Linked DNA regions of Nothobranchius furzeri. Each later gene encodes a partner of the first gene's protein in a complex. Links are inferred from orthologs where the notes say so. Each region holds a gene or a part of one and is shown in the gene's direction. Other genes may lie near its edges. The genes, in order: tectonic-1, b9d2, tmem231, mks1, transmembrane protein 237B, cc2d2a and b9d1.

Region 1 (4,061 bases):
TCCTTTCATCACCAGCTGCTGATGCTTGTAAGCTTCTTAGTGAACCAAAAACCTTTGGTGTTTCATTCACATCCAGCCCAAAACCCCTAAAAAGCGCTGTCGGCCAGTTCTCTCACCCCTGCATGTTCTCTCCCGCTCAGCCAATGGCAGAGGATCAGCTGGTGGTTAAAGACACCTGACAGGAAGCCACAGGTTTACACCTGACACCTGTAGGGGCTGAGTCTCACTAGATCTGGGCTTGATCCACTCTCTGTCAGAGGGCCTCCGGAGTTTGATGGAGGAGACGTCCAGCTGGAAACCCTCCTGGTGAGAGCAGGGAAAGAGCCAAACCCAGCAGCGGACAGTGGAGGAATAATAATAATAATAATAATAATAATAATAATAATAATAATAATATACATTAATTGATCCTCTTGGGTAAATTATTTCCCCACATTTGACCCCTCCCTCAGGGGCTGCATTGTGTATGGCTCCTGGGGGGCGACTTAAGGGTTCAGCATCTTGTCAAGAACGTTTCTGACGTGACCTTTAACCTGCTGGGATTGAACTGAATGGTCGGCTGCCCCCCCCCCCCCCACACACACACACACACATAGCCCTGGCCACGTACAAGTCAGAGGAGAAGACGAGATCTATTGTAATTCACCTTTAGTGGAACAAGTCAAACGCTGAAGGAGGCCAAAACCTGCAGTCTGTGTCTCCATCTAGTGGAGAAAACTATGAACAGAATGTAGAATGAAATACCCTGAATCCTTCCGATGGGTTAAAAAATAGAAAAGTACGTCATTATTACAAGTTATAGAACACGTTATTTCGAAAAACAGTTCTCGTTAAAACGTGATATAAATCACGTTTTAACGAGAAAGTTTCTAATTTTAACAAGAAAGGATCTCGTAATAACGAGAAACTTTCTCGTTTGAACGTGTTTTATATCGCGTAATAACGAGAACATTTCTCGTTATTACGCGATCCTGGTCCTGAGTTTTTTTTCCCTGCACTGACGGTAATACGCTTCCGTAGAAAAGTATGAATAAGTAATAATAAAATATCAAGTGAGGCAGAAATCCATTTTTAAATTATATTCACACATTCGCATACGTGGTGAAGGCTGTTATTACTTAAAATTTTTATTGACACAGGAACATATTTTTATTTTATTATTTCCGTATTTGTGTGAGGGAATTAAAAGAAGGTATAAAAACAGCTGATTTCCTGGTAACACGTGAAGCACGTGGAGCTGCTTTGTGTAGGAAGCAAAAGTGTCTGTTTTTAGTCTGTGAACGAATCCTTTCTGTGCGGTTCAGTTCGCTGGTGCTTTTCAACAGCAGTTCCACATATGAATGCTAGGCGGCGGTAAAACAGCTGTAATTAGAATCAATACCAACGAAGAAGAAAAAGAGTAGGAAGAAGTAGAAGAAGAACCATAGCAACGCTAAACAACATGGCGGTCTCGGCCGCTGTTTTCTCCATATTAAAGTCTCTCTGGTTGTTTCTCTCGATTACTTCTGTCGCTTCGAACCAAAGTACAACTAACGGCGCGTTTAACACGACTGAGCCGAACTTTAGTCACACCGTTACGGATAATTACACAGAGTTCGAGTCCACACCGAGCCCCGGCGGAACGGAGAATTCCCCCGTAGCCGCCGAGCCGCTGCCTGTCTCGGGCCATCTGCTGTCTGCCAAGACCAGCGGTAACCGTCCACGCTTCCTCTGCTACTGTGACAGGGTCCCCACGCTGCGGTTTAATGTGTGTGTGTGTCCGTCCATCAGCTGACAGCCTGTGTCCCTGTGATGAGGTCCTGGGTGTGTGTGACACCAACTGCTGCTGTGACCCAGAGTGTGGAGGGGAGGTGGTTCTGTTCACCAGCTGTTCGCTCGGTTCTGTGAGGAGGTTAGTGGACTGGCTGGGTTCCACCTAGAACGGCTCCTCTGCTCTGCTTGGTTCATGTTGCTGGAAGGTCCCTGCTGCTCTGGTTGGGAACAGGTGTGGCGCTCAGCTACATCACACAGTGGTGGTGATTAAGGAGCCACATGGAGCAGAAGAACCTAAATAGGCTCTGAGACCTGATAATTACATCTCTTCCTATTGAATGTTGCTGTGTGTTCTTATTAAGCTACACAAAAGCTGCCTGACTTGTCTCTGCAACTCTGCAGTGGCAGCCAGCAGCTGTGTAACCAGGAGGCAGCATACTACACTCTAAGGACCAACGTGAATGGCTACTCAGAGCTGCAGTCAGCGGTCCAGAAGGAGGACAACGCCAACATCTTCTGCATCCGATCACAGAATCGTAAGACACCAGAATTCCTTAGGAAGAACCAGTTAAGCTGTTTGAATTTAGTCAGTTTGACCGCGTCCACCTAGGCCCACTTGATCCCATTAAGGGTGATGGGGACTTGGCTCCCATCTTCAGCTGTTATTAAGTGAGAGGTGGTGACGCACCTGGACAGGTGACCAGTCCCCTAATTAAATTGTTATTTAATAACTTTAATTTTAGCACTGCGCAGTGTGTGTCGGGTCTCTAGATGACTGATAGAAAACATCAACTGAGAAAAGCTCTCACACTCAGCTATGTGTAAATAAAGAATCAATCAGGACGTATAAACTAAGTTAAAACCTAAACAGTAAACCATGATTAAAACCAGATTAAAGTTCTCTAGTTTGTTTTACTTCCAGGTTTATTTTTCTAAAAGGGGTTTGTCTCACCTGCTGTGTGATATTCCTCTCCGTAGGTATTGATGGATTGTCCCATCCCTCTCCAGCTCTTCCAACTGATACCAACTTTGACCTGCTCTTTAAACTGTTTGCTCCTTTTCTGTGGAGGATGGAAAACTCAGATCAGGCAGCCCCGGCAGGAGTCCAGGACTCACGTGGATACCAAGTGAGTCTTGGGCCCAATCCCAATACTCGCCCTCGTGCCCTTCAATTGCACGATCCCGACCACGGCTGCGAGTGCGTAGGGTGTCTCGATTCTCAAATGCATAAGCTGATCATGCCCCTTTTGCACCCATGATCCACACTTCACTCAAGTCTGCAGCGATGCAGACTTGAGTGAAGTATATTACCCACAATCCATTGCTGCAGGAGAAAGGGCTCAAGTTCCATATCCGAAAATATGTATTTTCTAATGAAAGTAGTTAATTTTAGAACAATTAGTTGATGCTCTGAAACTTTAAGACAAAGCAGCGAAGAATGCCAATTTATTTCAAATAATTGTTTGGTTGTTTGTTTGAAAGTTTTTAATAAATGTTTTTAAACAAAGTATCACAGCAACCAGCATCCCGGCATACGCAATGCTCCCTGTCTCAATTCTGTAATTATTTGCACACTTGTGTACTACGCACTCGAAGCCTTCCAGCGCACTTTCTCCAAATGCACTTGGCTGAAGACCACAGGGAGAGTATTGAGATTGGGCCTTAGTTGGACGGAACAAGTATTAATGGGTCCAGTGTCGTAAAAATTAGTTATGAAAAACAATCCTGCATATGCAATTCAATGTATACGTTTAAAAACTGCTTATGATAGTGCTAAATATGATCATTAAAGCAAAAACAAGAAAGAGAAACTAAAAATGTCAAATCAGAATCAAAGATGTCCTTTTCCATGCTGTTTGGTTTGAGAGTGATTTGGTGGTAGTTGAAGTCAGAGGTCAAACTTTTAGGTGCCATGGACCACAGGCATACGTAGACCCCCCGTGGGCTGGTGCTGCCTATTGGAGCTACTGTAGTGGCTGGCCGCCATCTTGGATGGGTCTCCATTCGCCCCCAGTGCATTTATTTCTACTGAGGAAGGCGTTTAGCTAACTAAAGAACACATTTAATTATGTTTTTCACAAAATCAGACACATGATATTGCATGGCAGTTCTAATATAAATATAATTACATAAAATAAATTAAAATACAATCATGGCTTTTGCAGCCGTCATTCTGCGTTGACTCTAGTTGGATTTGGAGAGCAAAGAGACCCAACCAATATGGCGGCGAAGCTGTTACGCTCTCCAGCACATAATGAGGTGTCTACATATTCGTGTCTACGCCAGGGGCGAATGATCTAGTGTGTTAA
Region 2 (2,772 bases), on another chromosome or scaffold:
TTGCATGGTGTGGTATTAAATGGGAGTGTGTGTGTTTCATACTTGGCACAGCGGACCCAGTTGATGTGCTGGTTAAGAGAGAAGAGGAACTTCTGCCTGTGGACCGTCCACACTTTGATTGTTTTGTCATTAGACGCTGTGACCAGGCTCTGTCCATCACCGGAGAAGTTAACACAACGCACAGTGGCAGTGTGAGCCCTGAATTCAGTTGAATCAGCCTTCCTGCAAACACAAAAGGTATTATTCATACATAAAGCAGACAAACACACTGTTTATTCAGGGCGCTGGTATGATGAAATTAGAGTAATCAGCAGATCTTGTTCTTTTGCCTTTAGGAATCCACAGCTTTGTCTTGAGTGATAATTTCTGGAGAAACTTGATGAGAAGAAAACAACATAAAATGCTGCTACGTATAAACTTACATGCTGGGCACCCAGAGACGTACAGTTTTGTCTCTAGAGGCCGAGGCCACAAGGTGACCAGATGGAGAAAACTGGACAGAGTTTACAGCTTCTCTGTGTCCATCGAAACGATAAGCTCTCATCTGAGGCTTCAAGTTCCAGATCATCACACAAGAATCCATAGAGCCTGTGACTGAGAAAGGAGGAAGCACAAGCTGGTTGAAGCAAGAGATTGGTATTAACTACAATGTGCACACAACAAACTGGATAACAGGTGAATATATAGACGGACAAAGGCTCAGATCAAATAATAATAATATTACCAATTTGTTTCATGTTGCGGCTGAAGTCCACACTTGTCACGACGTCCCTGTGACCCTTGAAATTTCTCTCTAGGGTTGGATCAGACTATGATGAAATCAACAGAGATTTTCAATTATTTTACAAGTTTATGTTTGGAAATTATTTTTTCATTTGTTTTATGACCACTTTTGTTATTAAATGATATTTTCTTCTTTTTTGTATTTTATGTTTTATTTTTTATGTAATTTTCATTGAAGAACTTCATGATTTTCTTTTCTACAATAGGTTCTATATAAATAAATTTTACTTTCTTTAGTTATCCATTGAGTTATATAAAAGTTGCAAGATGAACAGTCATCAGGAAAAGCAGGAGAAAGCATATCTAAATAAATAGCTTTTTAGAATTTATAACCTTAAAAAATAAAGCACCATTGAGATGTAAACAATACATTAAAAAGTACAGTGCACTTCATTTGCCATCTTGTTGAACTTGCGCTGTTAAATAGTTATTCGGAAAAAAGTAAACCAGCGGTTCTTGTATACCCTTTATTCAGTCTTTCAGGTATGATTGTAATTTATGTAACAGCTGCTTCACGTCATTAATTAAATTGGTTAAAATTCGTAATTAGTTTACTAAATTAAAGGTTAAGTAATATTTTTTTAGCAAGAAGATATAAAAATGTGTCTCATTTGCCTTCAAAAATAGAACCAGCCCTAGACAGGAAGTGCTGCCTGACAGACTCTGCTCAGGGAGTGCTGTATTAAGAGCACACTATGGCAGGCTGGGTTACCAAGGAGACGTGAGCTGCGTTTGTTGCTCTGTAGCCTTTGATAAAAGCGGGCTCCGTGTGTCGCATGTTCTGGTTAAAGCGGACAGCTGTGAAATGGCAGAGCTTCACATTATAGGACAGATCATCGGGGCCAGCGGGTTTCCTCAAAAAAGCCTATTTTGCAAATGGGAAGTTCATACGGGGGGAGCATGGCGTCTTCTCTCGGGGCTGAAGGAGGGTCAGACTCAGGTGGATTCCCCCCACAGCGGAGAAATGGCTTACTGGAGCCACCCAATTGATCTGCACTATGCGACCAAAGGTCTCCAGGGCTGGCCGAAGCTTCATCTGCAAGTGTGGCACCAGGACTCATTCGGCCGCTACCAGCTGTACGGATACGGGTACTGCCACGTTCCCTCCAGCCCCGGACATCACCGCATAAGCTGTGTGACATGGAGGCCGCTCGGCTCCTGGCAAGAGCAGCTAGCACGAATATTTGTCGGCGGAGGCCCCCAGCTCCGCAACCCGGATCTGATTTACAGTGGAGCGGACAGATACAGACTGCACACCGAGGCCATGGGCACTGTGAATCTGGAGCTGGGCGTCATCATAAGACACTTTGACAAACATGGCGTCGAGAGCTGAGACGTCAAATAAGAATGTTGTATTGATTGTTTTCTTATAAAAAGTTTGTTTTGTCGCAAATGCCTTTGAAAAATTACACACGGCAAAGTTTTGTACATTTCTATGCTGATGTTTTTACACCTGAAATACAGCTATAAATAAACACTTATCATTGAAGTTGGTTTCTTATTCATCTACCGTTTACCATCAATCCAACTATACCTAATATTTCATATTTGTAACGTTATGAATATTTGAACATGTGTGTGTGTGTGTGTGCGTTAACCAAAACAAGTAGTCTACTACAAATCAGACACGAACTTCCTCAGTTGCTACAGTAACAAGTGCTAGCCAAACTCACCAGTGCAGAAGTCATTTTTCCCGGTATTTAGCACGTACACCCGAGTAAAGAGGCTCGTTGCTGCTTTGGCTATTATGACCGAAATACAATTGTTCTCAACTGTGGGTTTTGAAATGAACAGAGGGAGGAAAATATCGCTCCGGTAATTGGAATTGTTTTTTCTAATGCTAGCTGCTAACAACAGAGTTCAGTTTACGCGCCGTGATTGGGCGCTGAGCTGTTGGCCAGAGTCCTTAAAGGGGACGCTGGACATTAAAGGACGTTTGTGTCGAAAAAAGACTTCAATCAAATGTAAAAACGATGAATAACAAAATAA
Region 3 (3,110 bases), on another chromosome or scaffold:
TTCATACATTCTCCTGCAATGCCCTGGTCCTGTAGAATGAGCCCTGGCATTTTTACTGTGATTGCCTGTTTTTATGTAAAATCACAGAAAAAGAGAGATGCTCGGGTCGAGCAGGCTGCTTCATGCGCGTTCACGCTCAGGCATCGCCCGTAGCGTTTGCTATCCGTAGCTTTAGCAGCAGAGAGAGAGGCAGTGCCACTTTGTCGCTGTTCCTAACGCCTAGTGACAAAGCTAGCTACATTTCTGAGGACCCTTAGCTACTTTCTGTAGAACTTTCTTCTAGATATTTCCTGCTAATTAGCAACAAAATAGCCATTTTCACTCCGAACCGTTCTTTGAACGTTGTTTCAGCTGTCATCAAGGATATAAATGTTAGACAGTCTGAATGTTACTAGAGTGTAGCTCACCTTGTAAGATATCTGACTCTCGTGCAGAAGACCTGGGTTTGATTCTGGATGTGAACATAGTTTATTTAGAGTTTATTTTTTACATTAATGGTATATTTTTTACAGTAAGATGCCCAAATTTTTATTTGAGACTCGCTGAACGGCATTGAATTCACAGATAAAAAAGATGTGGGTTCAACTTTCATTTTGGAACAATTTTTCAAGCAAGGGAAGGGAATGATCTGAGCATGCAGGAGGACTGACCCGTCATAAACCTTTGTCGGCTGTGCTGAAGAGAAAGGTACAGAACCAAATTATTTAATTAATTATCTGTGTGTTCTTTTGTCCTCCGGGCCACACACACACACCTACACACACACACACGGGACTGTCTCAGCTGTTATTTTCGTTAAGGAGTGTGCACGTACAGCGTGCACGCCTCGTGTACGAGCCTACTACTGAAGCTGCTGTTATGCTTTTGGCCTGAGGGGGCAATCGCAGGCATTAAAATTCAAAAGTCCGAAAAGTCCCTTTAAATTATTGTTGTTTAATTTAATAGTCAGAGCATTTCTATTTCTCTGGTTTCTGCTAGCGGATGTCGACAGTGGTGATGCAGAGTCTGGCTTATGTGCAGCACTCCTCACCTGTACCTGGAGTTAAACTGTTCATCAGTGGAGACCTGAGGCTTCAGCAGAGGACACCGCTTCCTCATCGGGGCCTGTACAACATCTACAATGTGAGAATAGTGTTTATTCCTTATTTATATTAATTTATCCATCCATTGTCTATACCCGCTTGTCCATGCGGGGTCGTGGGGGGGCTGGTGCCTATCTCCAGCAGTCTCTGGGCAAGTAGGCGGGGTACACCCTGGACAGGTTTCCAGTCCATCACAGGACAAACAACCATGCACACACACCTGCGGGCAGTTTAGAAAACCAATCAGCGTGACAGTCGTGTTTTTAGACTGTGGGAGGAAGCCAGAGTACGCAGAGACACCACACATGCACAGGGAGAACATGCAAGCTCCATGCAGAAAGACCTCAGGTTGGGATTTGAACCCAGGACCTGCTGCAAGGCAACAGCGCTAGCCACTGCTCCACTGTGCAGCCCTATGTTAAATTAATATGTTAAAGTATTATTTTTTGTGTTTACTGACCTAAAGGTGTCAGTGATCGATGGCACCAGCCCCTTTGCAAGTTCCTATGACCTCAGCAACATTATCAGGAGCTACCAGGAGAGAAACGGTAAGTAAGCAGAGGGATTTATTCTCTGCCGACGCCCACGGTCTCGGGTTTTGTATAATGAAGTATTTATAATTTTATAATTGTCTTTTCTTTTTTATTTAGTAACAACTGTGCTGTCTTGTCCAATGCCAGTGTGGACTATAGGACATGCTGCTGGTTCACCTTTTGAGCTTAACGCTGAAATCCGCTACCCGCTGGAGCTCATCAGATATCCTTTCATATCTAAAAGATCACCAAAAGGTGTTGTCTTGTGACTGATTTACCTTTTCGTCTTTAGGAGACGGATTACATAAACCATGACTCAGAGTTATAATTCTTCTAACGTTTTCTTAACTGCCTCCCTCCACTTATCGTCCTGGCTTCTGGGAAACCATCAAGTTTGCTTGGATCCAGTATGTCAGCGTTCTCCTCATCTTCTTGTGGGTCTTCAAACGCATCCAGAGATTTGTCTTTCAGAACCAGGTTGTAACAACCGTACCCATACCTGTAGGAAAACCTCACCTGTCGTGATGCAGAGCTGAAAGTTTATCTTTTAGGTTTTGACCAGATGACACCTTTTGTCAATTTGCTTCATGTCTGTAATGTTTGTTCTTTGGACTTCTCGTTGTTGATTCAGCTATATGTTATTGTCTAATCTGTTTATTCTGTAGGCTTAAGCATTCTAAAAGATGTTGTTATAAGATCATATACATCCTGATCTGCATCGGGGAACAAACTGTTCTTCTTTGTCACATTAAAACAACTTACACATCGTAGATATTACAAATCCTATGTTAAATTACGTGAGTTTCAACAGTTTAGTAACTTTTTTCATCTTATGTAGATTTTTCAACTTTTTTCTTATTTTTAAATCATTAAAAAAATTTTGTTTGATTTTAGCGGCTCAGTTGTAAAGAACATAAGGATATATTTTCTATATTGTTGTTTTTTTTTACACATTTGAAACTGGTTTTGACAAAAATAAAGACTTTTTAAACTTATTATAGCTTTACTGGGTATTTATTAAACAACGTGTGAAAGGAATGAGTCGTTTGGAACTATCATGAGTAAAATAGGAGTTCTCGTATTAAAGCTGTTAAAGCACAACTTCTTTCCTAGGATTAGTTTTTAATCACGTGTTTGTGCTTGATGAAAAAGATTCAGTGGTCAAATAATGTAAAAACTAATTTTCACAGACAAAACTTCAAACATGTAAGCAGGCTTATCCCTATAGTGAACACAGTGGTGGCAGCATTATGGTGTGGGGGTTGTTAAGAAGCAGAATGAAAGAGACTGTTGAGAACTGAGGCCTAAGTAAATGCAGCCAAATCCTATAATCCTCTGCCTCTCCTAAAATAAAATAAATCTGTGAAGATGACAGCTCTGGTTTTCATTTTGAGAGTGTTGTGGATTCTTAAAAAATTCATGCAGCAGACTAAAGACTTGATTCAGCTAATTTCCGTTCTCTACTTTGTCTTCTGGAATCCTGACACATTCTGTT
Region 4 (3,631 bases), on another chromosome or scaffold:
TGGTACGACCCGACCGGGTTTGAACCCCGATGTCCAAGGGCGGACCCTCTACCACTAGGCCTCTGAGCTGGTAACTGATTAAAGTGCATTAGATGAACCAGTGGGAACGTTTGTTTCTTTGCAAACATTTTTCGCTAACCAGATGTTTGTTGTCCAGCCCGCTGTTGGTACGCTACGTTACCTGATGGATGGAGAGATCGGTGAGGAGGACGGCTGTGATCGCTATCTTTTTAGATTACCCATCAACTTTCAAACTACCACTCTCTCTTTTCCCTCTTTTTCTCTTTAGTCTCGGCTAAAGGATTTGAGTATGATAACTTACACGTCCACTTCGTCCTGGATCTTCCCAATAGTGAGTAACAAGCCGTCTGTGATACTCATTTGTGATATTTAGTTTTAGTGAGATCTTAGTAAACTTTTTTGTTTTAGATTGGTCCAGCTCAATGCCCCAGTTTCTGTCAGGGGTTACCCAGACTTGTCGAACCAAATCACTGGGGAAGGTGTGTGTTTGACGTAAGAAACTGGTTACTTGCTTCAGAACATGAACACTGACACACGTTGATCTCTGCCAACAGGAAAATGTGGCTTTCTTCAGTTACCCCTTCAACTTTGAGATTTTTTACAAGAGTGAGAAAGAGAGTGAAGGTCAGCGTGAGCCTTTTCATTTTGAAATGATGTGATTTAAAAGTCTAAATTTAAGTGTTTTCACTTTTTTTAATTTCAGAGCTAATTCCCCAGTGGCCAGTGCTTTACTTCAAAGTTCTTTCTCTTGACCTGTGGGGGCGCTATCGTATTGAAGGCTATGGTTATCTGCTTTTTCCAGCTATTCCTGGTATGCTGCTGCATCTATAAGACTCATTGACTAATTTACTTCTTTATTATTTAGATGATTTTAGATTCACATTACTGTTATTTTTAATTGTCTTTAAAAGTGTTATTTTATTTTAGTCCAGGGATGTCCACCCTTGTTCCTCAAGAAACCCTACCTAGCACGTTTTAGTTGTTTCCCTGCTCCAAAGTACCAGATTAAATGGTTTGATCAGCCTTCTAATCCCCTGCTGATTGAAATCAGTAGTGCTGAAGCAGGGAAACCTCTAAAACATGTAGGACGATGGCCCTCCAAGACCAGGATTCGACACCCCTGACTGAGTTTTATCTACTGAACATTCAAAAACAAAATTTAAAGATATTCAGATAATTCACCAAAGATTGTACTACAAATGAATTCATACCAACAATTTCAAATATGCAAGATTTTTAACTTCACATGGTTCAGAAAAGTTAATAATAATTCCTCTGCATGCTCCATCATTCATCTCCATCATATATTCTGTTTCTGGTGCATCCCAGGTAAGCACACCATGACCTGTCACACATGGCGACCTCTTCAGATGGGGACGGTCTCTGCATTGAGGCGCTTTTTTATCGGAGGTTCTGCAGAGATTGAAGATCACAGCTATGTCAGAATACCAGGGACCTTCAAGGTGCACTCACAGCTAAGCTAATTCCAGGTTTTGAACCTTTGCATAAATTTTCTCCTGAAGGTTTAATGGGTGAAACATGATGTTTTAAAAATATACATTGTGGTAGTTGTAGCATTATTTCGTTATCACCAAGTTAACTGTGTATACCTGAGCAAGCAAGTAAATTAATGCATTATTATGATTCTTAATCTGGTACAATGGTGTCTGGTTTCAGGGAGACAGGCTGAGTCGCTTGGGCTTCTGCAGTCTAACCTCAGGAAGTGTCACATTTAATCTGAACTGCATCCAACAAGCCAGGTAAAGACCAGTTTAATCAACAAGCAGCTGTTTCTGATTTTCTCCCTGACAGCTTAACAGTTTATATGGAATGAATAAAACATCAGAAGTGAGATTTACTCTCTGCACTGCATGCAAAACACTATTTCTTAATGCAAATGCAAGTGTTCCATTTACAAATTTCACAAAGATCTGTATTATTAATGCAAATTGTTTCATCTTTACTTTTAAAAAGTGTTTACTGTTCGCTTCTGGTTGTTTCAGGGCCTTTGTTGACGCTGCCATTCAGAAAAAGAGGAGGCAGAAAGTCATCGACCAGCTGGGAGGATTTAGTCAGCAGGGAGATGTTTGCAATGTTCTGGGTAAACATACTCACACAGTATTTGCATCAGGGTTTAAAAGACTTTCACTTCCTGTTTGCTGCTGAGTGTATCCTTGTTTGTGTGAGCTGTGAGTTCTGTGTGTGTGGTTAAGTGAAAAAGTTTACTGTAATCAGGCTCTGAATGTTCCACCATTTATTATTTTTACCATGAAATGATTTTATGATAGCGGGAGTGAAAATTAGCATAATGCCACCAGTTAGCCTCTGTCAGCGAGCGTCAGGGCAGCTGTGGCTACATCGTAGCTCATCACCATCAGTGTGTAAATGTGTGTGTGAATGGATGAATGATACACTGTAGTGTACAGCGCTTTGGAGTCCTTACTCTGAGAGGCGCTATACAATTATGGGTCATTTATCATTTAGATTCTCGTTATTTCAAACCACTGGAAGATGGATTTGTTAGGACACTCACAAAATGTTATGGACTGTATACCAAGCCTTGCATTGCAGCTTGATTGCCCAAAGTAGACAAAAATGTAGAAAGAACAGGGAATTTTTCTGCAGGGTTAATTTAATTTGTATTTTCTGTTTGTTTGTTTTATTTCCCTTCAGAGGCCTTTCAAAGAGCATACAAAAAGCTACAAGAGGCCAGAGAAACGTTCCCACAAAAAGCCATCAACTCTACTTCCCAACTCGAGCTGGAATTTTCTGCATAAAAACCAAAAACACACTAAAACTGACATTTCAAGATGCATTTAGGATCCTGCACAAGCTTCCAAAACTGAAAAGTTTGTCTCAAGTCATCTTCTGTTCTTCTCAGACTGTAACTGACATTTTATTGACAAATGTTATTAACTTAAAAAATCATCAGAAACGATTTATTACACCAACATTAGGAGATGGAGCATAACACTTGTCTAATAAATGTACTATAATACCAGCAGTTTTTTTTTACAAAATTCAAGGTACTGTTTTCTTTTATTATTTATTTTACTGTTTATTTTTCTTATCTGAAATAAAGGTTAACTAAATAAAAATTAAATATGCAATGAAGTGGTATATTTTCCCCATTTTTAAAACAAAACAAATGGACTGAAACCCGCATTATCTGACTGCGGGTTGTCCTCCAACGTAGCATTCGTTTTAGCTCCAAAGGGAAGTAGTCCAATTTTCCATGACTGTAAACGCACCATTCTCCATCTTCCTCCAACCAGGGAAAGGACCGTTCAGCGATTTTCCCTCTCAGTTTCACACACGACCAGGTACTTAAGTACACATATTTCACGTTAATTTTGCAATCGTGTAATTTTTTGATGTGTAAATTGTGTGTCTTAGTCAATGTATGGCTGCTTTAGCGTATCTCTAGTAGGCATGTAGCGATGGGAACTGGGCCGCTGGTCGCTTTTCTCTTTTTTGTGTCAGATTTAGCCTAATGCTCAAACGAAAACTGAAATCGGTTTTCTGAAACTAAAACCCTGGTGGTTATTTAGATTCACTGTTTGGGGCTGTTTACTGCGGAATGAGTGTTGATGCTTTTTTTCGTACATAG
Region 5 (4,263 bases), on another chromosome or scaffold:
TTACTACGTTAGAATGTTGTTAAGAGGCTAAAAGTTTTAGGCCAACTTGTTTTCCATATTTACTATAGAAGCTTTAACTTGGGTCTGACACAGCTTAGGAATACACAACTTGGGGTACATATGGGTTAGTTACTGGAGACCTGGTTGTTTTCAAGAGACTTGATACCACTCAGTCTGACGCAGTTGTTTTTTCACCCTCCTTGCATGCTGGTGGTGTTCAGGTGGAACTGGTGACTAGTGTGTACGGCAGACCCACCTCAGTCAGTTAGCCCCAGGGCAGCTGTGGCTACATTGTGACTCATCACCACCAGCATGTGAATGTGTGTGTGGATGAGTAAAAGACTGATGTATTGTAAAGTGCCTTGAGGGGTTTAAAGACTCTAGAAGGCACTATGCATACCATCTCCCATTTAGCTGTTACCTACAAGAGTATTTACAAATTAAAAAGTCTCGTTCACTTTTTTTTTTCAAGAAATGTGTTTTGGTCTCTATTATGACTGAATCCCTTTTTAGTCGTTTTCTGTACAAAAAATGCTCTGGTGTTGATTACAAGTCTTTCTCATTAATATTCATGATATGCCAACATCTAGCCTCTGATTGGCTTACAGCAATGTTAACAAAACCAAGAATACTATAAAATTGTTTTAAAGAACTATTATAGCTTTAAAATCTTCATAGTGTGTCCCTTTTAAATAAATGTGCTCATGGCGACAGACATGTTTTTTGTATTGGTATAACGCTGCATGTTTTTCTTAGCTTTTTAAACTACCGTAGTTTGTTGTTCATCTTTCCTGATTCAACAACGGTGAGCAGGATGCAATAGCGGTGAGTGACCGCTAGAGAGAGCTAAGTGAACATGAAACTGATTCCCACTTCACACTTGTTTCTCAATAATATGCAGCATTATTGAAAATGCAGCATTATTGAGAAAAGCATTTCACTGTATTAGGAGATTAAATTCTATCAAGTGTCATTAGTGACAAAAATATCTTTGTAGTTCTTAAGATATGTTTTTTTAAAAAGCATAATTTGTTTAAAACTATTAAAAGAGAATACATATTTGTTTGTCGTATCTCAAAAAGTTGTATTTAAAAACTTAAATTCTTATGAATAGATCGTTTTTCCTGCACATTTGTGTTCATATTTATTGTAATTGTGACTTGCTTACAACAAGGATCAGGCCATGAGGCAGCAGCAAAAGCAGAACATATCTTAGAACTTGATGAAAAGACACATAAAACAATTACAGACATAAAAAAACATTTTCGCATAAAAGTATAATCTACATGAAAAACACTGAGCTTTCCAGAAAAGATTAGCCTCCTTACAGGGTGAATCCATGTGGGGTCAAAGGTTATCCAACAGTCCCCGTCTACGGTTTCAACCTCTTCCACTGACAAAAAATGATTTCTATTCTATATTAATAACAATAATACATTTTGATATTTACGTCGATCCGTCGCTTTTATTTTGAAGACGTAAACATTGCTCTCGCGCGCACATCCGGTGTCCAAGAACGCTGCTCCAAACACAATTAGCGCGCTACTCGAGTTTAAAAACATTTTTGGAGTAGAATCTGCTTCTATTTTGATGAGGGTGTGACCGGGTTGCTTATTACTGTCGTGTTGTTCGGTGAAAAGATTAAGAATGGACGCAGGACACGCAAACGTGGGAAGTTTTTACCCTCTTTAGCTAGCCTTCATAGTGTTTTGTGATTTAAATACGTCAAATAATATCAATGCAATCCAGTCAAATGCTTTATTATTGTGTTAAGTTGTTCGTTTGAAGTGTTTATGTGATAATATTAATGTTGTACGCGATAATGCTCGAACTAATGTAAGTTCTTTGTATGTTCAGAGGGTCAGGGAGCTCCCTCCGCTAACACAGGTCAGTGACTCACACCCACGTACGCAGCCTCATCATTGTTTGTTCTCATATTATATGAATTACTTACTGCAGCCGCAGTGTCATAACAAACGGAGGGACCGCCGATCATACTAGCGTGCTCTTCCCCGGCTGCGCCATTCACACACTCACCACGTTTCCATGGCAACAGACGGTTAGATGATAGATGTTGTGTAAGAGAAGCATAACTCCAGTAACACCCACACAAATACTAAACGTCTAATGTAACGTTGGGACATATTTTAACTATGTTATTTTGCTACTGTAAGGAGTTTCAAAAATGTTTTTAAAGCTTTTTAAATCGTGAAAGCACGAACCGGAAGTCAGCTTTTACTTTGAAAGCAGCACCTCAGCTAGAAAGCGGAAGTACTGCAAATTTTATCGTAAAACGTTACAACGTAAAAGTAATGGTCCTTATTTGAGGAGTTTTAAAAGAAAATATGCTATTGGAAGATTTTAAATATTTTGTAAAATATCTTCATAACGGTGAAGAAATATTCAAAAACGTCTAAATCTTTATATTGTTATAGAAGTGTTTATTTTTATTACTAACATATTGCTTTGTCTAAAGAAGCACCTGCTTCATTGTGACTGCTGAGCATTAATAAATGTACACGATGGAAGTTAGAACTAGAAAGTCAGGTCATTTAAAAATGTTTCAGATAAGCAAAAAATGTAAATATCAGTCAAATATAACCTGGGTTAACATAAAACGAAGGAGTAGAAAGCTATCCAAAACAACTTTGCCCTATCTTTAAACACTTTTCCCCTTTTGTTAAATTAACCCCTTATCTATAAAGATAACTTCACTTCCCCTGTTGAAGAATTGTAGCATTAAGAAATCACTTCAATAGAATTTGTCTGATAGCATGAAGAAGGAAGGTTAAAAGACCTCAAAAAGCAACAAACCATGCCCCGTTCGTAAGGGATTCAGGAAAAAAGGAATCCAGAACGACATCTGAATCCCCTCAGGTCTGAGTACCATGACAAGCCCACTACTGACCAAGGATTTACCAACAACCACCATATAGCTTTATGAAACTTTGGAGCTCTTTGTTTATTATTTATATACTTAAATATGCAAGTGAGGCCTTTGAGTAGTTTACTGTTGTACCAGTATCATTAGAAAGATTAAACCAGATTCCACTGAATCCTTTCATTTTAAACTTCTCTGTAATAAACCACTTCACTGCTGCTTCATCTGACCTTTGACCCCAAGTAATCCTCAGTCCTGCCAGATTTAGCCGAGGATTTCAGAGTTGGGATGACGCGTGTTGCTTTGCTTCACTTTGACTCAGTTCTTAGTTGAAATAACCAGAACGACGACGGTAAGATTTTTGTCATCTTGCCTGTTTGATATGATCTTGTCACTAACGAGAGTCGGTGCTTTAAATACACTCATGCCGTGTGCTTGTCTGGTTTTGTAGGAGAGGATGTGACTGTTTGTAAAAATGGATTTACTGAAATGTCTTGCCACGGATCTGGTTTGTATTTGGCGATACCACTTCTGAAAATTCAGTTTCATTAGAGAAAATAACTGCTAGCTAGATGTTTTTTTTTTTTTGCCCTTTTCTGACCGACATGCCGTGTTTGACAGTTTCCAGTTAGATTTAATAGCACTTCATACTGAAAGGTAAACATGCATGTCTTTCATTTAACGTGTTGCCTTTAAATTCCATTAGTTTGCAATACATTACTCTAATGTTGTAACCAGCGGGGATCCAAAGGGAATATTTTTATTTTGAGGAAAGCACTTTGATTAGTGCTTTGCACACTCCTCAAAACTTAGTTTAGGCAGCATAATTATTCATTTTCACTTTTAAACAGGGGTCAGTGGCTGAGTTACAGCGGGCTAACATACTGTTAAAAAGAGAAATTACAAAGGCTAAACATGAATATAGAAGACAGCTGGAGAACAAAATGGCAGCAAATAAACTTGGTTCAGCATGGACTAGCATGAGAATTATTGCAGGACATGGCTCCGAGGCACAGTACACAACCATCTGTCTAGACCCGTTTAACACTGACAGGGAACTAGCTAATGCCCTGAACAGTTTTGATTGTCGGTATGACGCTCTGGATTTCAGCGGGGAACAGGGTGTCCTGAGGGAGAAATTTAAGGATAGTGACCATTTTAAAGTTGACATGGAGGACATAGGTAGGGCCATCAGGACAGTTAGAGTGGACAAGAGCCGAGGACCAGATGACATTTGTGGCCACTTACTTAAATTCTGTGCATACCAGCTGACACCTATACTGCACCACATTTTTAATGAATCTTTACGGTTACAAAAGTTCCCTGAACCGTGGAAGGATGCAGAAATTGTACCGATTCCTAAGGTGAGACATCCAGGTATT
Region 6 (3,500 bases), on another chromosome or scaffold:
TCCTGTCATCTGAAACTACTTTCTCCTCTAGCTTAATGCTACGTCTTCAAGCAGGTGCACCAGAGCTTTTTTTTTACCCCAGTGAAAGACTTACAAGGCATTCATTCCTATTATGGGCCACTGCAAATGTATTAGTAGTATGGGTGAAGTGGACCTTTAACATTGTCCAGCTGTGACTGACTCACATGTTAGCACCAGCTCTGAATCAGGTTTCACCAGTAGTACAGGTATTTGAGTAAAGGAGGATTCAGCTCTCTCAACATTTTCCCTGTAGCTTCAGACATGAACAGACATTTTAATATAGTTTATAATGAGAAAACTGATATCAGAGAGAAAGAGGAGTGAACAACCACATTAGTTTTGATCAACAGAGGTATGCACGTCTGCTTGGCTCTGTCAGATGAATTAACAAGTAACACACAATGCTGAACAAAAATTGGAGTTATTGTTTCCCAATGTGCTTTTATTCAAGGTTCAGCAACCCCACAGCCTTCCAGCTCCGTGTTTTTAGACACCTTTGTGACACAGCACTTGCAGGAGAAGCTCAGAGCGGCACGGGTGAGTACTTTTTTGTTCTGGCATGCAAATACGTTGTTATTGTAATTAGGATTTAAATCATACAGTCACACATAGACATTTTAGTCTGTGCAGCATGGACAATCTACATACTTGGATTTAAAGCTGTTTGCTATCAGCTTTGTTAGATCCTGAGAAAGAGCAACAATATTAGCATATGAAGCTATATCATGTATAAATATCCAGGATATTTATACAATCGATAGAAGTTCCTACACCAACTGTCTTGGTCTATATTTAATCCAAAGATTAATATTTAATTTAAGAAATTTTATTAAACAGAAGACTTAATGGAATCTTTGCTTATTCAATAACCAAATGTACACCACTCTGTGTTTCATTTCAAAGAAGAGTCAGGTTTAAAAAGTTAAGAATTTATTACTAATAATTTAAAGATGACCATTTGTAACAGCTTTGATATTAAAACTTGGTATTAAAAGCAACCTGTGTCTGGGTGAAAACTAAAGTGGAATGCGTGGATGGATTCTCAGAGTTTTCTTTCAGAGAGAGAAACACGTTGTGGGTGAAAGAGTTGTTGCAGCTAACTGAGTTGTTTCTTAGAGAGAACAGCGTCGGACGCCATCTGTGTTCCACCTCACCCAGTTAGACGACCCTCTGTGTGGATCCGGAGGTCAAAGGGAGGATGTTGTCAGCCTCTGGGTACTCGGTCCGGTAGGGGAGACCCGAGTGGTACCGACTCTCTGGTCCAAGAGTTGTCGCAGGGTACACAGTGTTGAGCTTGCGTCTGGCTTAACTCTGAAGGAGTTTTGCATCCGCTGGTGCAGGTGGTGTTTATTCTGAGCGATTCTATCGGCGTGACAGGTGGAGGCTTCGGGCGGCCGACCCTTATCCTCGTGGAACTCTCGTGCCACGGAGAGACTTTGGTTGGTTCAGGACTGAACTTCAACTGAGGAGTTTTTGGTTTTATTAAAACTCAGGACACGCCCTCTCAGAGATAGAAAGCTTTGGTTATGGAGCAAAGACGTGTGAGGTGCAGTTACCTTTACCCTGCATGGTGTGTACACGTGTACTTGACCTTCTGGTTACTGATCAAACATTACTGATTATCATAAACAATAATTATTATTATTAACCAAAGAATAATAAGTCATTTCAGTAATGAAATACATTTATAATGAACCATGATGATTATGTATGAACCTTGAAATAAACAGTGTAAAGAGTTTATTAAAAATGATTATTTTAAATCTTGAAGTGTCCTTCGTCTTGGACGGAACAGCAGACAGAGAAAAGATGGTTTTTAGCAGACTTTACGCCTCCTGTGATGGATAAGCTGTGGACTGAAGTTCAGCCAGGACAGCGTGACCCAGCTGGGGAAGTGTGTGTGACCTTTGGGTCACAAATGAGGCCATTCATGTCGCTACATGTGCAAGGGACCCTTTTGACACATCACGCCTGGATCTTGTGTTCCAGTCTAAAGGAGAGAAGCTTCAACAGCTAGAGGCTTCTGTACAGTCACCCAGTCGACTCCAACAGCTCAGAGACAGAGACACCGTGACGAGGTTTGACACAAGGGTGAGGTCAACCACAAAAGAACGCTGGTTTCCAAAATAGCTGGAGAGATGAATTATTATTTAATTTAGCAGGTTGATCCAGTCGGTGCAGGAAGACATGATGACCCTCCGGTTCTTCACAACCGGATCAAGTTCAGAGAGGCTGCAAGAAGAGTAAGACACTTAGATTCAGACTGTACAAAAACACTTGTATGGAGTTTTATAATTACCATTAATATTGTACGTGCAGGTGAGAGACCTCCCAACGGCTGAGGAGTCATACAATTTCTTTACTTTCAACTTTGAGCCTGATCGTCCGAATGAGAGGCTCAGCAGAAAACGGCAAATACGAAGAAAATCTGCAGAGGAGGCCAGAGATGAGGAGGAAGGAAAGGCAGCTGAGGTGGAAGAAGATGCCGGAGGGGAAGATGATCAAGATGAAACTGTAAACCAGGTACCACATCAGTGAGAGGATTGTGCTCAGATGATTATTTTTACTTGTTCTAAAACATTCACTCTGGTTTTCTGCACCTGCTTAAGAGCGATGAAGCTCACCTGGTTCAAAATGCAGATGACTTGTTTGTCATTGATCATTCTCCTCAAGACTTCCTGGTAGTGAAGAAGGCTGAATATGTCAGTTACCACACACGTATTCAGCAGGAGAGTGAACTGTTCACACCGAGCTTTCGAACTGGTAAAACATGTGATTCACACTGGTGACGTACAGCCGGCTGCTCGTTACCTGGAACCGTGTCTTTATGATTCGTTGTGTTGCAGTGCCAGCTTCGGTCAAACTGCCTGAAAACATGAAGCCTCGCTTCCTGGAGGAGGAGGGTCTCTACGTGGGAAAGAGGCCCGCCATATCTCTGACCAATGAGAACATTCTAGAGAACCGCCTTTTGAAAATGGACGAGGTGTCAGCTTGCTGCTCTGCTCAAACAAATAACTGTCCTCATTTTGATGTTAATATTCAAACGTGTTTTTGTGATGTTTGTTTCTCCTGAAGGGAAGGAAGTGGTTTGGAGATGATGGGAGGATCATCACTCTGCCTGACCCTGTGAAAGAATCGTCCACGCGACCGCCACTGGCTGACATGGAGGAGGACCTTCATCCTGCACTGCAAACTGTTTACCGGAGGGTAGTTTTAGTTACCAAGAAATGAAACCGCAGGGTTAATAAAAGGAAGATTTTTCATTTTTGCTGTTTTTATTAGGCTTCCCTTTAGTAAAGATTTATTCCTATAAGTAGGAATAATAGGAGTCCATCCGCTGTACTGGCAGGCTGTAATTAGATCATTCTTGCTAACGGACAGGGACAAAGGGCAGATTTAGAGAAAATGCAACGCATTCAGAATCTTTTAATATACAAATGCTTCTGTAGTTTAATTGATCTCATCTTTAATCATAAACA
Region 7 (3,994 bases), on another chromosome or scaffold:
TGACCAAGAGTTGTTTAGGCCACAGAGTGTGGGTAGACCGACCTGCAGGGTAAAATATTTTTGAACCGCATTGGTTTGTCTAGTTTTCTAGGCTTATGCTCTCAGAACTTGCCTTCCCTGTCTTCCTGTCATAGATTCAACAAGGTGTTGGAACCCGTCCTCAGAGATTCTGGTCCATGTCATCCCACTTTTACATCCATGAGGGGAATCTCCCATTCCACCACATCCCAAAGATTCTGGACCAGACTGAGATTTGGTAACTGGAACCCATGGTCATGTTCCAGATCCAGTTAGAGATTATCTAATCTTTGTGACATGGTGCATGATCCTGCTGGAAGTAGCCATCAGAAGATGGGTCCAAGTGGTCAGAAAGGGTTAGGCTAGATTTCTAAATGCATCGAGTTCCTGCCATATGATCGCGAAGATCAAAAAAGAGCTGGAGGTGAAAAAGTGATACAGGTGCTGAGCTTGGCAGACAAAATGGGAGATAAAAGGAAGCAGGTGCAATAAGAGCTGCTGTTTATGGAGCTGCAAAGGTCAGAAGACTTGGGGTGGGCCCTGGAGACAGCAGGAAGCACTGTGTGGGAGAGAGCTGAGAGAAGAGCAAAAAAAAAAAGGTTGCTGGGTATGAAACAGCTGAAAGAAAGAGCTGTTTTTGTCACATCTGAAACAAAACACAGTATTTAGACACACGTGCCAGAGGGGTTTACATACTTTGGAATGCAGATTTTTTGGTTTCATTCATTTCTGATTTTCAAGCATGTGGCGCAGTAGGAAAAGCAGACATCCATGTTTATATACAGCACTGGAGGTGTCCAGTTAGCTGGAAATTTTAAGTTAGGCTTCTTGTTTTGGATGTTGTTTTGTTTCAGTTATTGTTGAACAGACATTGCAGTCCTTTGGGCCTACAAAACAATAAAACGATGGTTGAGAAATAACATTTTCAGGGCTGGTAATAAGGTTAAAAAACGATTTTCAAACATGTTTGGTCGTGAAGTGATTTCAGTCGTGAATGAGAACGAACCTGCATTTTTAAAAGTCAGTGTATTTGATTTTGCTACCCTCTAGTGGACGCCTAGACAATTAAACCAGAGTTTTTATATTGTTTCTCCGCCTTCTTTTCTCCTTTTAATAAACTTCGGGTGTTTATAAAAATAAGTATTTTGACTGAATTTCTTGAATTACTTTTTGCTCTATTTAAAATTAATTTTAACACGTGATGGCCCAATATCACCAATAAGAATTGCGTTTAATTTTATCCAAACCGGTAGCCATAGGGAGGAGTAAACGTTGCCTTAGCAACAACCTCGGATCGCTTCAGACTGACCAAATTAGCTCGACTTATTTAACAGACTTTTACTTTCTTGAACCTCTGGAGTCACGATGGCAACAAACAACCCGAGCGTGTTCCTCCTCACGGTGAACGGGCAGATTGAGGGAGCGAACGTAAGTCGTCTTTTTAGCTAGTTTTAGCTTAGCTGCTAGCGTTAGCATTAGCAACAATGGCTCGTTTGGTGCTTCATCCGGGATGTTCCGGGTTGTTTATGGTGATGTTTGTCTTTTATTTCAGTTTCCAGAGCATGACAATCTGTACTGCAAATATTGTTACGTGTACGGCCACGACTGGGCTCCAACCACAGTGAGTATTACAACCATTAGCATTTAGGATGAAACATGAAGTATGCTTGTTGGGTACCACTTTACAATACTAATACATTTATTATAGTGATGTTATTAATGTTTTCAACGTTTTAAAGCCATTAAGTGTTTATTATGCACGAATTAAGGGTGAGAATGAGACTAAACTGGCCGGATTCTTGCCGGTATACTTCTACTAGACTGTATGTATTACACAGATCAGACTGCTATATAAACAATTTATTAGCATATTATAAAAACATAACTATCACATGACGTCAAAAGTGTAAAAAACATGTAACTTTCTGAAATGTTTTAATATAGAAACTAGAGGAAATATATGGGTGATCAGATATGGCTCACTATTGGGCAAGATGTCTCTTTTCCACTCTTCGTTCATGTAAAATAAACGTCTTGGGTTCTGAGAGCACTTATTGTGCATTTTTAATTTTCATCTATCTGTTCTGGATTTGTAAGACCTCAGAAATATATTATTTAAAGCAAATACTAACTGATAATGGATTTTTTTTAGCTCTAAATTAAAAATAATTAATTACGTTTCCTTGAGTAATAATACAATTTTGTAAGATATAAACAAAATGATATCTCAAGGCTTTTTCCACATATGTGGATGCTGTGTTTACAGATGGGTTCATAACAATAAACCTTATTGTTAAAGATGTTCAATATGCTTTTTTTTACGGATAATACTACGTTTGAACACGAACCCACACAGATGCAGACAGTAACAAACGAAACCTCAGATCAGCCATATTTTGATGTGTTTGAGGAGTTTGATGTATAATGTGAGCATGTTATGCAAAGGTTGTGTCATTCAAACAGTAAAAAAGATAACTCAACGATGTTACATTTTAATGCCAATATCGGACGATGGTATTGCCCAATAACGTCAGACGTGACTTTCAAGGATACAGAACAGGGTTTATAGATAGTTAATGCAGCGGTGGCTGGATGGAGTTGTGTTGTAACGAATGTGACTCTCCAGGGACTGGAAGAAGGAATAACTCAAATAACCTGCAAAAACAGTCAGACACAGAGATTAGTCTGGAACTTTCCTCTGGAGACGACGTTTAAGAGCACAAATCCTTTTGGGTGTGAGTAGATCACAATTTCATCATCATCATCATCATCATGTGTGACTCTTTAGGATTAACGCCGTTTGTCCCCCAGGGCCTCAGCTGGTGGTGAGTGTGTACGGACCAGATGTGTTTGGTAACGATGTGGTCAGAGGCTATGGAGCAACGCACATCCCCTTCACACCTGGACAGTCAGTATTACTTTCATGTTTGACCTAAAAGCATACAGAATGTGTTACTTCGGTTTGAAGATACAGATCTGAATGTTTTTCACTTGTCAGACATAAAAGATCCATCCCCATGTTCGTTCCCGAGCCCACGTGGAGACTTCAGAAGTTCACAGGGTGAGATCGGTCTCCTTAGCTGTTGGAAACCCGTGATCTTTAGAGGAACAGTAAATATTTCATCTTCCTCTCATGTGGAACGCAAGCTTCCAACACAAACACACGTTTTAAAGGTTCATTTTTGACTAATCTTTGTCACGTTTGGATACTTTAGATTCACACTCGGGCTTGTTTGATGTTGCTCTCAGTCTTTTTAGTGTTTTTCTTTTCATTTTTACCATGAAAACTGAATATTAATGTGATTATTATTAGATCTGATGGAGTTTTTTGCCATTTTGAGGAGCGTTTTGTGTAAAACTTACTAATTATCTGGTCAGAGAAACAGACTGTGCATCCTAGAGGACTGATGAGCCACATCCAGGCCTCTAAATGTCATAGATCGCCATGTGAGGTCATTTCACTGCTGTCAGGTTCTCATCACATAGACATTTTAGCAGAAATATGAATAAATTCCTGCAGGACCTGACCCCTGATGCACCAGAAATGCTAGTTTATTGGGGATGTTTACATTTGTAAAGAATGTGATGAACCACAGTGAGCTTTAGCAGACCTGTGCCGTTTTAGGACAGCAGCAACTGGGACTAGCCATTAGCACGGCCTTCGTGAAGGATGCAAATTATTCAGGAAGCTGTGAACTGTTTCAGAGAAACACGCTAAAAGATCCTATTTCTGTTCAGCTGGCTGCTGGGGCGGCGGCCCGAGTACACAGACCCTAAGGTCGTGGCCCAGGGTGAAGGCAGAGAAGGTTAGTGGTGCTTTTTCTTCTTTTACCTTTCTAGAATAAAACTTTTAACATATATATATTTTTCCGTTTCAGTGACAAGAGTTTGTTCCCAAGGCTCTGTAACCGTCTCCTTTCACATCATGAGTAAAGACATGAAGAAGATGGGCTACGACGTGGGACCGTCACACGTC

The links.
Region 2: tectonic-1 (region 1) and b9d2 share a complex: the UniProt entries of both Homo sapiens proteins name them as parts of the tectonic-like complex. The link is inferred for Nothobranchius furzeri from reciprocal best matches to the Homo sapiens genes TCTN1 and B9D2.
Region 3: tectonic-1 (region 1) and tmem231 share a complex: the UniProt entries of both Homo sapiens proteins name them as parts of the tectonic-like complex. The link is inferred for Nothobranchius furzeri from reciprocal best matches to the Homo sapiens genes TCTN1 and TMEM231.
Region 4: tectonic-1 (region 1) and mks1 share a complex: the UniProt entries of both Homo sapiens proteins name them as parts of the tectonic-like complex. The link is inferred for Nothobranchius furzeri from reciprocal best matches to the Homo sapiens genes TCTN1 and MKS1.
Region 5: tectonic-1 (region 1) and transmembrane protein 237B share a complex: the UniProt entries of both Homo sapiens proteins name them as parts of the tectonic-like complex. The link is inferred for Nothobranchius furzeri from reciprocal best matches to the Homo sapiens genes TCTN1 and TMEM237.
Region 6: tectonic-1 (region 1) and cc2d2a share a complex: the UniProt entries of both Homo sapiens proteins name them as parts of the tectonic-like complex. The link is inferred for Nothobranchius furzeri from reciprocal best matches to the Homo sapiens genes TCTN1 and CC2D2A.
Region 7: tectonic-1 (region 1) and b9d1 share a complex: the UniProt entries of both Homo sapiens proteins name them as parts of the tectonic-like complex. The link is inferred for Nothobranchius furzeri from reciprocal best matches to the Homo sapiens genes TCTN1 and B9D1.

The regions. Positions count from the first base shown.
Region 1 is NC_091741.1:109,995,319-109,999,379, forward strand, and holds the start of tectonic-1, read left to right. Parts: upstream 1-1,261; 5' UTR 1,262-1,441; coding exon 1,442-1,691; intron 1,692-1,770; coding exon 1,771-1,891; intron 1,892-2,154; coding exon 2,155-2,288; intron 2,289-2,730; coding exon 2,731-2,879; intron 2,880-4,061. UniProt on the Homo sapiens protein: Component of the tectonic-like complex, a complex localized at the transition zone of primary cilia and acting as a barrier that prevents diffusion of transmembrane proteins between the cilia and plasma membranes.
Region 2 is NC_091743.1:62,503,167-62,505,938, reverse strand, and holds b9d2 (B9 domain-containing protein 2), read left to right. Parts: upstream 1-1,150; 5' UTR 1,151-1,588; coding exon 1,589-2,116; 3' UTR 2,117-2,272; downstream 2,273-2,772. Other genes in the region: poc1a (POC1 centriolar protein homolog A), read right to left, coding at 43-222, 423-594, 725-809, 2,457-2,471. UniProt on the Homo sapiens protein: Component of the tectonic-like complex, a complex localized at the transition zone of primary cilia and acting as a barrier that prevents diffusion of transmembrane proteins between the cilia and plasma membranes.
Region 3 is NC_091744.1:86,205,128-86,208,237, forward strand, and holds the end of tmem231 (transmembrane protein 231), read left to right. Parts: intron 1-978; coding exon 979-1,122; intron 1,123-1,548; coding exon 1,549-1,630; intron 1,631-1,732; coding exon 1,733-1,838; intron 1,839-1,977; coding exon 1,978-2,140; 3' UTR 2,141-2,610; downstream 2,611-3,110. UniProt on the Homo sapiens protein: Transmembrane component of the tectonic-like complex, a complex localized at the transition zone of primary cilia and acting as a barrier that prevents diffusion of transmembrane proteins between the cilia and plasma membranes.
Region 4 is NC_091750.1:66,889,933-66,893,563, forward strand, and holds the end of mks1 (tectonic-like complex member MKS1), read left to right. Parts: intron 1-157; coding exon 158-200; intron 201-289; coding exon 290-352; intron 353-429; coding exon 430-500; intron 501-575; coding exon 576-645; intron 646-724; coding exon 725-832; intron 833-1,350; coding exon 1,351-1,484; intron 1,485-1,698; coding exon 1,699-1,781; intron 1,782-2,024; coding exon 2,025-2,122; intron 2,123-2,694; coding exon 2,695-2,798; 3' UTR 2,799-3,131; downstream 3,132-3,631. UniProt on the Homo sapiens protein: Component of the tectonic-like complex, a complex localized at the transition zone of primary cilia and acting as a barrier that prevents diffusion of transmembrane proteins between the cilia and plasma membranes.
Region 5 is NC_091742.1:64,222,251-64,226,513, reverse strand, and holds the start of transmembrane protein 237B, read left to right. Parts: upstream 1-1,463; 5' UTR 1,464-1,647; coding exon 1,648-1,671; intron 1,672-1,857; coding exon 1,858-1,887; intron 1,888-4,263. UniProt on the Homo sapiens protein: Component of the transition zone in primary cilia. Required for ciliogenesis.
Region 6 is NC_091748.1:39,031,130-39,034,629, forward strand, and holds part of cc2d2a (coiled-coil and C2 domain-containing protein 2A), read left to right. Parts: intron 1-472; coding exon 473-558; intron 559-2,010; coding exon 2,011-2,112; intron 2,113-2,180; coding exon 2,181-2,264; intron 2,265-2,340; coding exon 2,341-2,544; intron 2,545-2,630; coding exon 2,631-2,784; intron 2,785-2,867; coding exon 2,868-3,004; intron 3,005-3,096; coding exon 3,097-3,228; intron 3,229-3,500. UniProt on the Homo sapiens protein: Component of the tectonic-like complex, a complex localized at the transition zone of primary cilia and acting as a barrier that prevents diffusion of transmembrane proteins between the cilia and plasma membranes.
Region 7 is NC_091752.1:49,448,100-49,452,093, forward strand, and holds the start of b9d1 (B9 domain-containing protein 1), read left to right. Parts: upstream 1-1,194; 5' UTR 1,195-1,383; coding exon 1,384-1,446; intron 1,447-1,570; coding exon 1,571-1,639; intron 1,640-2,644; coding exon 2,645-2,753; intron 2,754-2,829; coding exon 2,830-2,926; intron 2,927-3,016; coding exon 3,017-3,079; intron 3,080-3,756; coding exon 3,757-3,824; intron 3,825-3,896; coding exon 3,897-3,994. UniProt on the Homo sapiens protein: Component of the tectonic-like complex, a complex localized at the transition zone of primary cilia and acting as a barrier that prevents diffusion of transmembrane proteins between the cilia and plasma membranes.